Drosophila melanogaster: one gene and its partners. The protein of the gene in region 3 interacts with the protein of the main gene of each other region in a pairwise test. Each region holds a gene or a part of one and is shown on either strand. Other genes may lie near its edges.

Region 1 (3,352 bases), on a different chromosome or scaffold from region 3:
TAAATGATTTATGACAGCCAGCAGAGCACGCTTACAACGCTTCCAGCGACGGAACTACCTCTTCAGATGCACTGAGAGAAAATTTAGCTTGACTAGCTTAAAATAAATAACATTAAGTGCATGTACCTTTCATGTATGAATGAATTTCATTAATTAACATTTAAAATATGTAGCAACCCATATCAGAATGCAAGTACTCGCTGATTACTTATTTCAAATTGATTCAAAATCTGCTCAGAATTTTTATGAATTTATGACTGTTTTTCTGTGTGCTAAGCTTTTGTGCCCCAGGTTCCGTCGGAAGTTTGGTCATACCTTTAACACCGTAACAATGAAAACCCAAGTGACGACGTTGATGAAAAACGGCTCAGTAGGGCCCCATATAGGCATAATAGTTCCGAAACAAAGTTGGCGATGTTGACGCTGCTCCTCTGTCAACTTCGGCGCACTATTGTGGCGCTAATCATTCATATAAACATGGCTGCGGAGAGCGCTACAGATACAGATACATTTACCGATACAAAGAATGCCGTGGGGCTAGCGGTGTTATATCGATTTAAATGATAATAATTGGCCTCTAGAGCGCCATGGACAGTATCGATCTGTTTTAGAATTTTGACTATAAATAAACCGACGTGGATGCAAACGCTCAATCATTTGTGGTTTAAGAGCTCAAGGTGTTAGACATATCATAAAGGAGATGGTGAGTGTGGTCAGTTGTAGATATGAGAAGCAATCTGAACTTCACGATTTCTTTCCTATTTCAGAAGCTATTCATTTTGGCTACCTGTCTGCTGGCTTTTGCAGCCGGTGATGTTTCGCATTTGCCGCTGGAACTCCTGGAGGAGCATCATGAGCATGGCTATGGCTATGACTACCCCAAGCCGGAGATACCATTTGTGATTACCTCGACGACGGAGCCACCACCGCCACCACCGACTTATCTGCCACCCAAACCAGTACCCACTTACCTACCTCCTCCTCCGCCCACAACCACAACTACCACCACAACCACTCCGGCTCCTACTCCCGCTCCTACCTACCTTCCTCCCCCTCCACCTACTACCACTACCACGACAACCACTCCCGCTCCCACTCCTGCTCCCACTTACCTTCCTCCCCCACCTCCACCACCGCGTACCACTACCACCACCACCACTACAACCACAACGACACCTGCACCCACGCCAGTGCCCACGTACCTTCCACCCCCACCACCACAACCGGAACCGGGTTACCACTACGATGTGCCCGCCCAAGAGTTCACCTTCTGAGCAAAATCGCGATCGAACTGAACATGGAAGATTTCCCCGGATTAGTTTTGTTTTAAATCGTTCCACTAGGCTTAGGTTTATATAAGGTTAAAGCCATCTCAATAAACGCTGTTTTGTTAACCCCATTAGCATCGGTATCTCCCAAATATTTATTGGGATGGGACAAAAGTGGTACAGATGGCCGAGTCAATCACCGTCAATTGTCTGGGATTTCGTCGCATCCGCTGCATATTCATGAGCTGCTTTGTTGTGCAGAGCTAATTTGGTCGAAATCGCATTAATTGTTTTGGGGTAGAGGGAGATAACACACGCCGATAATTGGCCGACCTCAAGTTCATGAAAACCAAGAAAAGTGTGAAGAAAACCAAATAGCCAGCCGGTCGAGGAAGGCGCGATCTTTGTATAAAAGCGGTGACCATCGACGTTATTGACATTACTACCTGCTGTCATCAAACGGCAGCAACATCATCTCGATCGGTGGATTATCTCTTAAAGGAAATGGTAAACAGTAGCGGCATATTCTCTAATAAAGATGACCTAACAGGAGGTTGGTTATTTTACAGAAACCCATGCTGATCCTTTTGGCTCTGGCAGGCTTTGCCATCTGTATTCGGGCAGACGTGTCCCACCTGTACGGAGGAGGTTACCACGATCACGGCCATGATCACCATCACCACCATGATCACGATCACGATCATGATCACCACCACTATGATGTCCATTCCCACCACCATTCTCCCTCGTCACACGATCATCATGATCTGCACATTGATCTGCACTATCAGCCGGATCACCACCATCATCATCATCAAGAGGCCAAGTTCGATATCCCTAGCGGATATAGCTATGGACCTCCAGAGAAACCTCGCCAGAAGTACCTGCCGCCCAAGGTTTCCCTGCCACCGCCACCACCTCCACCGCCCAAGGCAACTTATCTGCCTCCCTCAAAGCCTGAAGTGAAGTACCTGCCCCCCGAACCGGTGGCCAAGTATCTGCCACCCAAGGTCGCTCCCAGCCTGCCTCCTCCACCACCACCTCCAGTTGTGGCGCCCAAGCCCACATATCTGCCTCCCAGTCCGCCAGAGTCCAAGTACCTTCCTCCTCCGACGCCCGAGGTGAAGTATCTGCCACCTGCTCCAGTGGCAAGGTATCTGCCACCCAAGGTTGCACCCAGTCTGCCACCACCACCTCCACCCCCACCAGTGGCTCCCAAGAAGCTGTATCTTCCTCCTGCCGAGCCGGAGACTAAGTACCTGCCACCTTCCGAGCCCGTCGAGAAGTATCTGCCTCCTAAGCCCGAACAAAAATATCTGCCACCCCAGCCTGAGGTAGATTTCCACATACCGATTCCATCCTATGCACTGCCCTTGGGCCCTGCACCAAGTCCAATCCACGACGCCGAGCCTGGTTACCACTACAAGCCTCCACTTCGCCGTTTCAGGCATTAGGATAATCAACCACCGAAAAAAAACCAAACCACAAGCACTGCATCTAGTTTTAAGCTGTACACATTAAAAGCATTTTTAACAAAAAATAAAATGGAGTATTACACCACTCGCACTCTTTCCCCATCCTCAAGGTCAAAGATATCAAACCCAAATTGCTGTCACCCAGCCCCCAAGGGATCCATGTGGATTTCAATCTGACCTCCAAATCTAATTGCGGCCAATCAACCGAAATAGCCAAACGGCTTCGGTTTTAGCTTTAGTTCAGCTCGATCATCACCTGCAGTGTCGATAATTACTGTCTTTTTGGATGAAAAATGATGTGAGTTTTGGTTTGAATATATTTATAGGGATTGATCGGTGTCGGTTACAGAAAGGTTCAAACCGAACCAAAATCGCTAATCGCCAATTGCAGCCATCGGCAATGGGACGACAGTTGACCTCTTTCAATGTTGCCCAGAGATGGGGCAAGTCTTTTAAAGGTGCCATGAAAAGATTAGACAGAAATAAATAATTAAGCCCCTAACGAATTGAGTATGCTCTTTTGAAAAGGGTTAAAGTTTAAATGTTTAAACATTAGGTTACTTTAATAGCACACTTGATTTGTCTTTCATTTTGTCTTTAAGCATTTTA
Region 2 (7,676 bases), on a different chromosome or scaffold from region 3:
TACGTTAACGTGCGATTCTTTTTCAGTTTTCTATCACTAATCAAAGTTGCCAGCGGACCGAAAAAAAATGTTTGTGGATCAAGAGTCCAGCTCGCAGCATCGTTTATGAGATCTCTTCAAGTCCTATAATCTTATATTTATGCTTTTCTAGGTCCTGCGGATCCCACAGCTATATCGAAGCTACCGGAGAGCTTGGCGAACCTGGTGAACCAGGCGCTGAACGACGAAAGCCTGTGGATGGAGCAGTCCGTGGTGGACGATTCGAGTGCATCGAACAGCTCCGCGGCCAAGTCGCGCTATATCTTGATGAAGAAGGGAACCACAAGTCCGTGCAAGGAAGACACCGACGAGGCAGGCGCTTTGGCCGCCAAAAGCGACGGACTGGATACAGAGAGTGCAATGTTGCTGAAGGAAACAACCGTCTAAGGGAATCGCAATTTTTAACTTATGCCAGCTGAGCCAATAACTTGTACCGTGTGGTTTTGTGTTATGTACCTGTTATGTTAAACGCGTCCAATACGAGCTATTTATTTGTCACACCGCCAAGAAATGTGGAGAGCAGTCGCAGTAATAAAATATACATACGTGGTAGTTGCATTTATTTCAGAAAAACGTTCAAAAGATGAAAGGATGAAATCTAAACCAGGCATTTAAACACAGTTCCACGCACGCATTAAGACTACGGCTAGACGACTATTCGATGAGTTTTTTGGCTTTGAAGTACCTGCGGAGGTACAGAACTTGCCACGTCGCCAAGCCGAGCAGGCAGCACATGCTGAAGATGCTGAAGAACAGCACGCGGCTGTTGGTTTTCTCTGTAGGCAGAATGCGAACAATAATTAGACGTGATTCTAGGGAATTTTTGGTATTTCACATACCATTGGTATCGCGCATTTCCTCCTCCCGCTTGCGCATGAGAACGAAATCACGCACAATGGAGTCGGAGAGATCCTCCAAACGCTTAAGATCAACTTCAAGGGGCTTCAGTTTGGATGCTTCGCCAATCTGCATATGATTAAAGGATTGCAAGTCAAGTGTAAAACATGCAAAAAGGACATAAGTGTACTTACGCCTTCGTAGCTCTTGGTCTCCACTCCCTTTTTGGTCAAGAGCGATACTTCCTGTATAACGCCGCGTTGATCTGCACAGAAATCGAAACGTTTATATATATACGCTATGGGAGTTTATTGCAAACTATAACTTACGTGCAGGAACTTTGGATATAAAGCAGATTTCGTACGTATCGTACACCTCGGACATGAAGCTGAACTTGCCCTTAGTGATGTGCTCCTTCTGCGACAGGATGTGTCCCTTGGTGTCGCGTGCCTGTTGGACGCAAATTGAGTTCGTTAAGTGCGTGGAGTAAGTTAAGTACGTGTACCGAGCGGAAAACTCACAATGTAGTCGATGATCTGGCCGGGTACGTCGGAAACTTCGAACTCGCCCATAACCAGTTGGTTCGCCTGGATGTCTTCCTTGAGGCACTTCTGGGTGTTCGGCGACAGCTTGAACATCACCGCATGGCTGCTCCAGGCACAGGCCATCAGTAGGCACACAATAAAAGCCGCCCTCGCCATAGCTAACAATTTAAATCTAACAAAATCTACGGCTGACAAAGATGAGGTGGCTATTTTATAGAGCTGGCACAAGACCGATGTTTTGGCGATGATATCGATGTGTCTAGAATTTTGGCAGCACTGGTTTGGCGCAATCGGTACTAAATACTAAATATAACCGCAACTTAACTATGTCTCTCAAAAATTTAAACTCTTATTTATTTTAGTAAAATACAATCTTAATTCAAATTCCAATCACCTCAATGCTTAATATGACACTAGCTTGCATTTTAATCACACAGCCGTTAAATTAGTGTTGATAATATCGCTTTGTCTGCGCAACGCCGTTCGCGTGAAAAGTGACGGCTTCGGAAGCGTTAAGAATCCCGTCAGTGTATTGGTTAATGTGCGTGTGGTGTCAGTGTATGTGGTTCTTTAAGTAAAAAAAATATATCGGAGTTTATAAAAACTTTTAAGCAACAAACTCTGCCTGCCTTGTGTTTTTATATCATTTATTTTAAAAAGGGGTAATATAGCTACGGCCAGTCAACCGAATCGGCGCCGCCATACTAAGCCATTTCCTATTTGCAGGCAAAAAGTGCAGCAAATGTCAGGCGTGGATCAGGTAATTGTATTTTGCATACACACATATGTACATATGCTCGATTCGATTTATGTCGGGATTTCGCAGGAAGATTTTCCATTGTTAAGCAGCGATTAATGTTCGGATATACAGTGGCTGACAAGCCAATACGATACGATAAGTGTATTAACCTGCGTTGCGTTTCCGTTTCAGATGAAAATACCAGGAAACACAGGTATATAACCTACCACCACAGACAGAGCGTTTTCCCATAGACAGGAACTACTCGACGGCCGAGTTTTCGATCGTATTTCTTGCTTAATGTGCGGTTTTAATGCGATTTTCTCTGTTTACCATGCCCCACAATGCAGCTAAATCGGTCGAGGAGCGCAACATACCATGGAGTCAGCAAGTCGATGAGGCCTCGTACGAAAATCTATCCTCTCCCACTCACGATGAAGTCTCTGGTGAGTTCTTCGACTATAAGAAATATATGGGTTTCCAAAAGCCATCTAACCCATGTCTATTCCTAACCCTCCACCCCGCACCTACCGCCTACACCCACCCAGGCAATGACAACTCCATGCAATTCCAATATCCGCCGTTCAACTTCAAGGAGAATTGCAACACTCCATGGAACAATATGAACAAGGGCCGAAAGGCGAACGCCAACCATGGTATGTATAGCAGTTTTTGTTTTTTTTTTCCACCCAGCACTTGACTTGCACTCGGCGCGTAATCGTTCTCACTAACTGGTTTTTCGACTCTGCGAATATGCATAAGTCGGTGCACCGGGAAGTCGGGATTAGTCCGATTAGCTTCCGATTGGATTCACTTGGCTCATTGCAGCTTATGATCGCTTAGAGATCAAGATAAGTAGCTTTGCGCCAACGCATAGAACAATTCAAAACGGACGCTAATATTATTTATTTGCATAATTTTAAAACAATACCTTTCACAAGACCGACCATCATTTACTATTAGCAAAGTTGCTGCACACCAGAATCTAAGAAAAATTGATTTTAGAATCAATTTTATGTAAGTTACATTGCAATCAACATTACCTTTGCCTTTAGAATATCCTCGGCCCAATCCTCGGCAGCCATATTCCGAATAGCCGTTATCAGGACCTTCTGGAGGTTTTCGGATTGCTTCTTAAAGATGTAGATGATTTCGTGAGTGGTTGCGTTCGGCTGCTTGGCGCACCAGCACTCCATGTTGGTGACCAGACCCAGCGAGGCGTACGGAATGCCCGCCTCCTTGGCCAAAATGGCCTCGGGACACAGGGTCATGCTCAGCAGATCGGCGCCCCACTTGCGGAACATATTGTTTTCGGCAACGGTGGAGTAACGCGGTCCTTCCAGTGTGAGCACCGTGCCGCTGGATCCCGTGGGGAATCCCAGCTCTTCGGCGGCACTCAGAAGGTGCTGCCTGGTGCGTTCGCAAAAGGTCGGATTCATGGGCACGTGACAGACGCCCAATGGACTACCCACGGCACCGTCGTAAAAGGTCTGAGCACGTCTGGATGTATAATCTATCACATCATTTGGCACCACCAAGTGTCCCGGCTGGAAGGTGTCCCTCAGCGAACTGAACGTGTTGGTCACCAGGATGTGGGTGCAGCCCATCTTGCGCATGGCCCACACATTCGCCCTATAGTTAATGTTGCTGGGCATGATGTCGTGGTTGCGTCCATTTCGTGATAGCAGGCACACATTGACGCCTTCTATCTGGCCATCGATGATCACATCGGATGGTTTTCCAAACGGCGTGCATACTGCATACTCCATGCGCTCTGCCAAGTAGATGGGCTTGTCCAAATTGGCCTCTCCAATTATGCCAATTTTGATGGGGATGGTGTCCTTCTCAAGTTCGCTCTGCACTTCTAAATCCGCCTCCATTGCAAAAGTAAATTTGGATAATTTTCGTAAAATCTGTTTGCCAGAAAGTAAAACAAAAACGAAATGTTATTCAAGTTGCTGTGCCTCCTTAAATTTGTTTAAATGCATTTTCACCCACAGATAATGCAAGTTTCTTTGGATCTTTTAAGAAATCATGAACTTTAAAGCGTGAAGGTGTGGCGTATGTAAATAATTAATGTAATATTTGTCTAAGCAATCAAACTTTCTTGAAAATTGTTCTAACATGTAGTCTTTCACGATATTTGTAGATTCATATAGAAGACATGGTCATAGTATTCCCAATAACACACGACGCGACGAGCACCAAGTAAATCCTTGGAATTCCAGGAAGCCAGCAGCACAGGTACATATTATTATTTATCTATATTGAAACCATATTCGGAAAGAATTTATCCCTAAACTAATGTTTATTTCCGTAAAACCCCTAAGTCGTTTCGAAATGAAAACGATCAGCCGTCTACAAAACTGGACAACAGAACAAGCGATGAAGCACAAAATCAAGAAGTTGTCGCCGCTCCCAAGAAGACAACCTGGGCCTCGATTGCCTCCCAGCCAGCCAAACTAACATCGAGAGTGAGTATCTGACTCATTGGGCCAGCGGGCAAACCCACTTATATCCTGTCTACGTTCACAGGCAGCGTCCACCACTTCCAACAGCAAGAAGAAGGGTCCTGGCATGCCACCACCACCCATGGTTCCGGGAAAGCACAATTTAGATGTTAACGTATGGGATTTGCCGAATAACAAACCACCTCCTGTACCATCTCCACCCTCGCCGATCGATTTGGGCTATTCCGACTTGAGTTCTGACTTCTCCATATCGAGCAACACGGCACCGCCATTGGGCGCACGAGCCGAGAAAGTGCACAAGGATACGGAGAACTTCCTGAAATACGAGCACAAGGGCTTGGGAAATAACAATAACTTCAGCAGAGCCAAGGTTTCGCCCACGGGACCTGTTCGCAGGAATCTAGGGCCCCAGCAGCCTGTCCACCATGCCGCCCCACGTCCAGCGACCAATGCCGGTCCATTTGGGCCACCGAACGCCAGACGACACGACGGCGGGCCGCATCCAAGCCGGAACTCGGAGCGCTCGGGCAACTATTCCAGTTTCCGCGGCAGCGAGTTTGAGAGTGCTTCGAAGTTCGAATACCGCGACGAGAACCAATCACGACCGGTGGAAGCCACATCTGCAACCGAAGAGCTGCCTGTCGATTCCCAACTCGTGTTGGACGAATTAAAAGACAAAAACAATTACAACCCAAAAGTGTTGGACTTGAAAAAAGCCGGATCGGCCAGGTAAATTTGCTATATTTGATTTTAATGGCGGTATTCGTATACTGATGCTTACTTTTATCCTCTCAGATTCTTTGTCATCAAATCGTACTCCGAAGATGACATCCATCGCAGTATAAAGTATGAGATTTGGTGCTCAACCGATCACGGCAATAAGAGATTGGACGATGCCTTCAAGGAGCGACACGAAGAGGGCGGCAACATAATGCTGTTCTTCTCGGTGAATGGATCTGGCCATTTCTGCGGCATGGCACAAATGATGACGCCGGTCGACTACAACTCAACGTCGAGCGTCTGGTCGCAGGACAAGTGGAGGGGCAAGTTCAAGGTGAAATGGATATATGTCAAAGATGTGCCTAACGGAACGCTGCGTCACATTCGACTGGAGAACAATGAGAATAAGTCGGTGACGAACTCAAGGGACACCCAGGAAGTGCCCAACGACAAAGGCATCGAGGTGCTGCAGATTTTGCACTCGTACAACCATTCAACGTCCATATTCGATGACTTCTTCCACTATGAAAAGAAGCAGGAGGAAGAGGTGTCCTCGAAGCGTCCGCCAATGCATGGGCCCGATGGCAACAACCACGCGCCTGCCCCACTCGCCCGCAGCTTCAATCGCCAGGCGGACGACAAGGACAGGGATCGCGACGGACGCGGCGGCATGTCACAAAAGCACTTCAATTCTGGAGGAGGAGCTGGTTTCCGTAATCCAGGTCATAGGGGTGGCGCCGGCAGTGGCGGATCACACAACAATTACAGCGAGTATCGTCGAGGCTTCGACATTCATAAATCAAGCAGCGACTATCAGTTCAAGGACCGCGATGGCCCGGACTTTGACAGAGAAAATGACTTTGGGTCCCACTACGGGTCCAATAACCGAAAAAATGAATACAAACACAATAATACGAACAAGGCCAGGTTAAAAACCCGAGATCGTGACTTTAGTACTGAACAAATTAAAATCGGCGTGCGCTTTAAGGTGGGTTCATTTGCATCTAAAGATTTAACAATTAACTAATTATTGGAATCGAATTTGATTGCAGGACACGGACAAGGATAAAATGCGAAGCAATGAATATTCATAAATTTACTGAGCTGCTGCGGTAGAATTCTTTTTTAAATGATATTGAATGGACTCCCACAATCCGTTGAATTGCTTAGAGACGTTAAATTATAATTTTTAGATTTTTTAACCATTGCGTGTACAAGATAAAATCCCGATTCATGGCGAGCATATATAACGAACATGTGGGATCTAGGATTAACGATTAAAGTATGATAACATTTTTACGTAATTATTTATTACAATATTTATATAAATCTATTGACGCTCACATTGAACAGTTCATAAAAAAATTAATGATCGATTTTGCCGATATATATACAACATTTATAAACACCAAGGAGTCTGCTTCAGCCATTCCTTGTAGTTGCACTGTAACAATTTATACAACTTATTTGAATCTAAAGTGTACACGACTTATGTATGTATAATATAATTAAAGTAACCAATCCATCAATTACTCATTGACTAATCTACCAACATCTCTCGACACATAAATGCGCTATTTGTAAGAGATTGATCAAAAACTTACCTTTCCAACCAGCTTAAAATAGTATTTTCTAAATAATACTTACACGTAAAGCAATATGGGCCGCATATTATTACTTTCACAGCGCTATCCAATAATTATACGTTAGTGGAAGACTGAAACAGTATAATAAACGAAGTCATGTACGTAACAAAATTAAACCCAACAAAACATGCAAACATAAAGCGAACTCATACTCAAACTGCAACGACTTTTCTGATTCGATGAGCTATTTTTTTTAGTTTGAAATTAAATTTAAATAGAAGGCTAAATGAGAGGCAGAAACAATGGATCTTGGTTTTGTGATCTGTGGCGAATGAAATGGGTAAGTAATGTTCTGAGGTCAAAATGAAAATTAAGAATTCTCCATGCTTAAATGTACCTTTAGAATTCCATTTCATACTGGCAAATTGGTTATTTTGTCGCTAAAATAGAAGTGCAGATAGTTTATCTCTATATATTTTCAAAAATCAAGCATTCCGGTCAAAAGAAATCAATTCTAAAGCAAACGTTGAAAATCATTTGGCATTCAAATCTGGCGCCTAAAAAATGCGTATGTCAGCAGTCCAAACAGCATTGTTAGCGGTCTGGTCACACTCATCCGCCTTGGCCACCGGTCACACTGCTGATCTAAAGATTTTTCGAGGCGTAATTTACACTCTACACATTTGACAAACTTCCAAGAAAGGAATAAATGCAACAGCAAAAGCATCGTTTAAAATAT
Region 3 (7,829 bases):
GAAGGAGAGGATGGATTAAGGAATGGTTATGGGGCACATGAGGATCCACGTGCCGTAGGATCCTCCGCCAGCCACGATATCCTCCAGGAAGTCACCATGCTCTCGTCATCGTTTCGATGGAACTTCGAGTTCCTCGAACCGTCGATCGCAGCCGATTTGCCATAGTTATATAGAGAGCTAAATGCTAAACCAACTATATACCAGCGTCAAGAACTACAACGGCAACATAAATCTCAACTAAGTGCCGTTCCACGAGACCTACAAAAATATGAATACATATAGTTCAAAACGAGGCAAGGTTAAAAGTGTATTTCTGTTTGTTTTCGTTTATATCATATATATTTATTATACTATTCCTATTCTTATAAATGCAAGTACAATGAAAAGTTGTTTATTTTTTTTAATAGATATATTTACACACACACACACACATACACACGCAAATACACATTTGTTTAAAAGTGGCCTGCTGTTATTAAACTAGATATGATAAGTACACATATAACGAAAAAAACAACACTGTGCTATTATAATTTATTGTGTATGTGATTGTTTCCCCATTATGATACGATTATGATTTATTGTGACCACAAGCAAGCAAATAAACGGAAAATATTGTTGAATCTTTAAACTTAATCGAATTGGGTCGTCCAGGACTTAGGAACTTTTTATATGATGCCTTCTGAATCAAACAAAAACTGTACTTATAAACTATTTACGCCTAGTGAACGTTATTACAAAGGGGTTTCCCCTGTGAATTGTAGTCTAAAATAGCAAATTGCGGTTATAACTAATCAAAATGAAAAAATAAAAACAATATATATACTACATATGTGTGCCACAGGCAAAACGTTTAACCAGAAAAAAAAACTTGCTAGCATTTAAATAAACATTTTTATAACGCATCCCAAGAATTAGCTTGCCCTTAAAATCAGTATTTTTATATAAATCACTACACGTACTGTCCCCCACAAACGAGTTAAATATTATATGCAAATAAAGAAACGTTTTCCTGAAAACCGAAAGAGATCGAGCTTTTTTTCAACATTTAAATTCTAGCGCCAAGTTGGCAGCCCACATATATCTGATATCGATAACGATAACAGGCCGGCATGCCCCACCTCTACATTAAAAGGAGAAGAGCAAATAGGAAATAAAAACAAGTGATTGGATAATTTTTGTTTGTTGATCCCGCTGTCTTTGTTTGGTAAAATGGTGAAAACTTAGTTAACGCCACTTGGATGTGCTCAAATTTTGGTTAGTGTTATTCGTGGCTTGTTTAAAACAATATATAAACAAACTCTAAACGCCGTTAACCCTTGTGCGCGTGTGTGTTAGCTTGCGGCTTTTTTTTGGGTGTGGAATAGTTTGTTATTGTTGTTGTTGTAAACACATATGTATATCTGTGCAACAACAATTTGTCGCTCATACTTTTTAGATACAGTGCTCTCTCTTTAAAGCGCATAACAAGTATTTATTTAAATAAATTTTGAAAACTAAACAATTGCCAAAGAGTGAGTGCGGTTTTTAAACTGTTAACATTCAAGAAAATGTTAATACAATTGCAACACTTCTTGTTGCTAAAGTTTCGCCTTATCGAGTGATCACCGCCCCCCACAAGAATTCCCTTTCCGACCATCGCCCCTCCCCGGCGACAGACAAATAGACAGGAGAGCAAAAGAGACATAAAACAAGTGCATCGCATTTTGCCAGGAGAGGAGCAGCATCACCCTTCTCGCATCGCCCATTGCATTTCGCATCTCGCATCATTGGAATTAATCAAGTGAGCTTCTCATTCGCGTGCTGCGGCCAAAGGGAACAACAACAAGTGATGGAGCAGCGGAACTAGCTGTGTCGCCTTCAAAAGGACATCGAAAGCACAAAAGAGAGGAGCAGCAAACACGCCCATCGTCGGAAGGCAACATAAAGCACACACATCCACACACACACACACACATATGCAAACGTCCTTGGCTCCTGGACGCCAACAGCGGATGTGCGGGAGGGCGCAGGACGAAGGATAGCTGACGTCTGAGACAGGAAACAACAGGAAGAAGACAACAGCAGCAATAGCGACTACAACAACAGCAACCGACAAACGCAATTACGGTAAAAGGTGCGCCCAACAACATGGGTAAGTGAGCGGGGCACATTCTCATTGCATCCTTTTTGTGTTGTGCCCATTGTCGCATTTCCATACATTACACCCATTCACCGCGTGTCCTTGTGTGCGTGAGTGAGTACAGCAGCCCTGCAGTTCCGAAAATCACTTTGCATTCGAGAGCATTCACCAGGTGAATCATCGGCGACAGAGGGGCCTTCGGTCCTATTGGATGTCCAATAAGATTTCTTTTGGGGCAGTCCTATAGGAAATACAAGGTTTTCTTTAGAACAGTCCTGTACATCTATTACTATCCTTTGTAATTTGTAACTACACAACACTTGTTTATAGTAAATTTTGAAAAGTAGTTGATTTTGAAGTACTTAAAGCAAATGATCTAGTTCATTTTAGGTTTTATTAACCGCAAAATATTTGAAAAAGTGCGAAAAGCCTAACTTTGAAAACGTCCATTAGTATTGTAGCTTTATTAAAAATTAATATACATAAAGATATTTGTGAAGATTTAATGCATGCATTATATTAAAACCACAAATGTGGGCCACAAATATTACTGTTATTTGTACCGCTATTCACTGGCTTATTTATGAACCGGTTCACTCTTGCACGGATATCCTGCGAGAAAAAAGTGTGAGAGAAAGATAGAGAGAGAGAGAGAGAGGGAAATGCGCGCGCGTGGAGAGAGAAAGCACGAGTGGGCGGGGCAGTGGAGGGGGCGCTGTGTTTTGAAACGGATTTGCTCGTGTTGAGATTTTCACACAAAGCAATAAAATAGGCACCCAAAGAAAATTTAAATTTAAAAAAAATCTAAATTTGTTTTTAAATATATGTAAAAGTTCTTAGGACAGAAGTTGGACTTGAACACGTACCTTTCTCTCTAAACTGTTCAAAATAGTGTATAAATTGAATGCACTTTGTGCTTTTTTCAGTGTAGCGTGGAGCGTAGAGAGCGCAGAAGCCACGTGGCTCTCTCTGGCGTGTTTGTGTTTGTGGGGAAAACAATGTAAGCTGAAAAGGATCAAAAGCGCAAGGCGTTGTTGCAGGACCTAAAAGCAGCGCACAAAGCAGAAACGGGAAAGGCAGGAAGAGCGAGCGAGTGAGCGAGCGCAAGTGAAATATGAAAATTGCATTTTCCTCTTCCTGTGTGGGGGTGCTCCATTAAAAATTCCACCAGCACGAGGAGTATCCTCTTTGACGGCTCCGTGCGAATCCTGCGGAACTCAGCAGTTCGCTGCAGTCCAGTTTAGTGGCACGAAAAAACATTTTGGAGCATCAATAAGAGTGTAGCCAGTGCCGTCAGTCCGCAGTTTGGCCCTCGGCAGTGAACTTAACTTTTTTTTTTAGCGCCTGCTGCAGTTTTTCCCCGTGTGCTTGTGTGAGTGTCGACGCCCTTAAAGTTTTTCAAATTTTCCAGCTTTGAAAATCACTTAAAATCAATCCGTTTCGATTTAATTCTTTTTATTTTAGCAGAGGCAGCGGCAGGAGGTGGCCCTGGTGGAGGAGCAAGTGTTCCCAGTGGAGGAGGTGGCAACGACATCGGTTTAGGCATCGGCATCGAGATGCTCAAGGCTCTGTACGACTTCCAGGCGGTCTATCCGAAGACCATCAGCTTCGATGAGGGCGAGTACTTCATCCTTTACCAGACGTCCGCCCGCCAGCGCAATTGGTGGCAGGTTGTCAGCATGAAAGGCAACATTGGCTTTGTGCCCTCCAATTACGTAATGAAGATTAAGGTGGAGTACATCGCTCACTAGTGGCTAAAAGGATTACTAAACATATGCAAATTTTGACAGGTGGAGCACGACTTTCTCATCAGCTTTCTGAACTCCTCGATAGAATCGCTGGAGAAGTGCACGGACCATGAGATCAATGGCATCATGTCCAAGGACGAACTGCTGGACAGGCTGCGCGAGAAGAAGCACACCATGGAGCGTCTGTATGCGGTGGGTAGATTCTAACTACTCGTATGGCCAAATGAATGTTATTGATGACCTATCTCCCCTCCTATCTTGCAGGAGAGTTCCGAGCGCGACGGTGACTCCTCGCTTTCCTATTCACACAGCTACAGTGACAAGGGTAGCCACCGGCACTCGCATCCCCATCCCACCCAATCCCAGACGCAGCTTCATTCCCAGCACAGGCAGCACAGTCCGCCGCCCAGCGGCGGCAGCGTTGGCTCCCAGCGTTTGGACATGAGCAAGAAGAGCATGTCAAGTCCAGCGGTGGGCTCATCGTGCGGCCTGCCCCAGAATCAGGGCATGATCGAATCGCCCAGCATGGGCAGCATGCAGTTCCAGGGCAGCAGCTGCACCATCCAGACGCCGCAGCAGCAACAGCCGCTCCCAGCACCGCCAGCACCAGCTCCCTCGCCATCGGCAGCATCGGCCACACCCACTGCGGCATCAACGAGCAAAGCGGCCACCGGCGGTGATGTCGCGCAGGACAATAGCATTACGTCGGAGCCCTCGGAGACGACAACGACCACTACGACGACCAGCGAAGATGTGGTCACCACATACAAGGAGACCAGCCAAATGAGCACCAGCCAGCAGCATAAGCCGCAAAATGGGAGCACTGCCTCGGCGTCCATTTCCGCATCTGCCTCGGCCTCAGCTTTGCGCAGCAACGGCGGCAACGGCAAGGCCAACGGTAGTGCCACAGCCCTGCATCAGGAGCTGCAGCAGGAGGAAGCGGACAGTGCGCCGGACAAGTCGGATGATGCCAGCGCCGTGCAAAGTGACGACGGTTGCCCGGCCAACGGAGATAGTGCGGATAATAGCCAGGCGCTGGACAGCATCGACAGTCCGTCGCATCGACAGCGCGGCCTGAGCCTGGGCAGAATCGAGGAGGGTGCCACAGGAGGAGGCCAGTTGAAGGTTGAGTCATCGGATGTATATCAGATTGTGGACGCCCTGCGGCGGAACACCAACCTCAGCTTCGATCTCTCCTGTGAAGCATTGCGCGTGGTGCTGACCAGCCTGGAGCAGCTGTACAACGGTGCCATCAATCCGTACCTGGAGGCGGTGGCCGTTCATGTCACTGGCAAAGTGGCCACGCCCAAGGAGCTGCTGGGCATTACGCACGACGCCAAGCGCTTGCAGTATCTCTTTGCCCAGCTGGCGGACTGCAAGAACGATACGGAGCAACGCACTTGGATGCTCTACGAGGATGAGGAGGACATCATTCAGTTCCTTGAGGAGCTTGTTGAGATTTTGGTAGGAACTAGTTTTTTTTTTGTAACTTTAAATCTTAAACTTATATCACTCCTTACAGATCAATGCTGATGAGAGCATCAGTTGCTACGAGATGTCCTGCGATCAGTACCAGATGTTTATCAATCTGGTGCAGTACTATCAGATGGAGACGCGCTGGTCCATCAAGCGACTGCTGCTTAAGACCTTTACGGCCGCTTGCCATCTGGACTATATCATTGTGGACATATTGCTGACCTCGGTGCTGCCATTGGAGATTGTAAGCAGGAGCTCAGATTGTGCCACCTAATGGTTTTCTAAGTTTAGAACTTAACATACTTAACTTTCAGGTCGAGGACATGAAGACGCACTTCTCCAATCTGGATCGCTTCAAGCAGCTGGTCAAGATGCTCACTATTATCTTCTCACTTGGACAGCCCATGCCGGTTAATCATCAGGGTAAAAGCTATCTTAACTTATTAACCAATAGTTGCATGCTTATACTTTGATGTCTATTATAGATTATTTGGGCGTACATTTTGCCAGCTTCCTACTGGAAATCGTCGAGGGCAATAATCCGGAGGTCTTGGTGGACATGGTCATTGCCTTGATCTTGGCCTTCAATCAGCAATTTAGCGAACATACCTATAATGTCATCATCGAAGGTATGCAGAATCTGCCATCCGCCAAAGTGTTTACGGAGAAGTTGCTACTTTTGCTCAATCGAGAGGGTAAGTTTTCAATTTTAAGCATACTTTTTAATTAACTACAAAACATAAGCATGTAAATTGGATCGATTTCTTCTTGAATTCTAACCAGATGATCCCACACGCTTGCTCAAGCATCCCAACGAGCATATGAACACGGTGCTGCGAATGTTTATCGACATATTCAGCCATCCGGATACGGCGGGCATGTTCTACACGAATGACATCAAGGTGCTTATCGATATAGTGGTTCGCCAGCTATCCGATTTGGATGCCGGCAGTACGGTGAGTCCGCCAAAAGTCAATGCAACTATAGTGCTCCCTACTAAGTACACTTTAATTTGGTTTCAGACGCGACCATGCTACTTGGAGCTTTGCCGACGCATCCTGCGCAATACGAACTATCAGGAGCACCAGCATCGCAAGCATGATCTCATGAAGATCTTCACGCGCATCTTCTGCGAGGAGACCGAGTGCAGTGCCTCCGATCAGCAGCTGGTGCGGGAAATAGCGAACGAATTTCCGCAGCTGTTCAAGGCCTAAGGATTATTGGATACGTATACCAAAACAACAACAAAAGCCCAAACCAAAAAAAAAAAGAACAAAAAACACGGAGGGAAACCAAAATTGTAAAGCGTTGCTAGTGAGGCGAGCCGTTGAAAGCGAGCCAAACCTTAAAATCTCAAATAATTTCAAGTTTGATCAGTGCATTTGTTATGCGTTTGTTTTAGCGTTTCGGTCTAGGATAGCCCTCGTCAAAAAAAAAAGTCAAATATTGAAAAGAATGCATTTCGATCCATGCCGGATCGAAAGGGAGCACACACGCGACTCTACATATATCTTATGAACATAGTCTGTAAGCAGGACAAATGTACTAGTTGCATGTGGAGTAGATGCAACCTCATAGAGATGATAACCCAATCTAGCGATCTAGGCGAAAGAAATGAAGCTATAGCCTATAGCCCATATAGTCTAACACTAAATTATCCCCTGTTTAGGATGATTTCACTAATTTAGAATTTAGCCAGGGACAATTTTAGCCAGAAGCAGAGTCAGAGATTAGCCTCACTTTTAAATTTTTATAGTTCCAATTGCCCATTTGTTTGGAATTCAAAATTTTGACAAAACAAAAGAAGATGGAAGCATAAGAAAGAATGAAATCTTTCGAGGAATATAATATTTATAGCCTAATTATACACCTATAATGAAAATATACATTCATGGCGAATGCGAATGAAACGTTAATTGCAATCTACAAGTAAACAATTGATATATTAACGATGTATGATCGCAGTATTTGCAGCTAGCAAAATCCAAATCGATTCGAATGTAACGAGCATATAATGTTAAATTTGTTTATATAATCTATGAGATGGAGAACTAAGCCGAACAGGAAATCATTGACAATTGTTAAAGCTCAAATACTTATTAATTGGAGGCTAAGGAGGCTGGAAATTGAAAATAATTAACTATGCAAGAGCATTGAAAGTTAGGACAACCATTTGCATTTCTCACTCACTAAAAGACACGAACACACTGTGGCACTTGCATTTTGAAGGTATACAGAATTCCGAATTATATTAAAACAAATTATTGCAGTACCAGTTTTATTTTTTTTTGTAATACTTGTTAATACCTTTTCTTTCTGAACTATAGGGTTTTAACCTCCAGCAAACCAGCCACATTTTCTCTATATATCTCTCACTATTTATCAAGAAAAAATAACAACACAAAATTCCCAGCGGATCCAACGAAAAGATCCATAATTTTAAATTTTAATTTTAAGGCAACTCTATTGTATTTGTTATGTTA

What was found. Proteins that work in one complex are often made in the same cells at the same time.
Region 1: the proteins of CG2258 (region 3) and CG15022 interact in a two-hybrid assay, tested with the Drosophila melanogaster proteins (one large-scale study listed by BioGRID).
Region 2: the proteins of CG2258 (region 3) and Ythdf interact in a two-hybrid assay, tested with the Drosophila melanogaster proteins (one large-scale study listed by BioGRID).

The regions. Positions count from the first base shown.
Region 1 is NT_037436.4:4,458,668-4,462,019, reverse strand, and holds CG15022 (uncharacterized protein), read left to right. Parts: upstream 1-1,702; 5' UTR 1,703-1,772; coding exon 1,773-1,775; intron 1,776-1,837; coding exon 1,838-2,722; 3' UTR 2,723-2,827; downstream 2,828-3,352. Other genes in the region: CG15023 (uncharacterized protein), read left to right, coding at 701-703, 768-1,274.
Region 2 is NT_033777.3:25,033,351-25,041,026, reverse strand, and holds Ythdf (YTH N6-methyladenosine RNA binding protein), read left to right. Parts: upstream 1-1,943; 5' UTR 1,944-2,083; intron 2,084-2,147; 5' UTR 2,148-2,163; coding exon 2,164-2,181; intron 2,182-2,258; exon of another isoform or gene 2,259-2,352; coding exon 2,353-2,374; exon of another isoform or gene 2,375-2,473; coding exon of another isoform or gene 2,474-2,510; coding exon 2,511-2,606; intron 2,607-2,708; coding exon 2,709-2,816; intron 2,817-3,044; exon of another isoform or gene 3,045-3,109; coding exon of another isoform or gene 3,110-3,145; intron 3,146-3,203; coding exon of another isoform or gene 3,204-4,040; exon of another isoform or gene 4,041-4,083; intron 4,084-4,309; coding exon 4,310-4,404; intron 4,405-4,490; coding exon 4,491-4,634; intron 4,635-4,695; coding exon 4,696-5,360; intron 5,361-5,426; coding exon 5,427-6,339; intron 6,340-6,403; coding exon 6,404-6,445; 3' UTR 6,446-7,151; downstream 7,152-7,676. Other genes in the region: bai (baiser), read right to left, coding at 694-815, 879-1,005, 1,071-1,141, 1,206-1,326, 1,398-1,577; CG31115 (uncharacterized protein), read right to left, coding at 3,110-3,145, 3,204-4,040; Smg6, read left to right, coding at 7,675-7,676.
Region 3 is NC_004354.4:8,095,374-8,103,202, reverse strand, and holds the start of CG2258 (uncharacterized protein), read left to right. Parts: upstream 1-1,748; 5' UTR 1,749-2,134; intron 2,135-3,131; exon of another isoform or gene 3,132-3,494; intron 3,495-3,586; 5' UTR 3,587-3,678; coding exon 3,679-3,852; intron 3,853-3,912; coding exon 3,913-4,062; intron 4,063-4,134; coding exon 4,135-5,334; intron 5,335-5,392; coding exon 5,393-5,590; intron 5,591-5,660; coding exon 5,661-5,769; intron 5,770-5,831; coding exon 5,832-6,041; intron 6,042-6,129; coding exon 6,130-6,302; intron 6,303-6,368; coding exon 6,369-6,560; 3' UTR 6,561-7,829.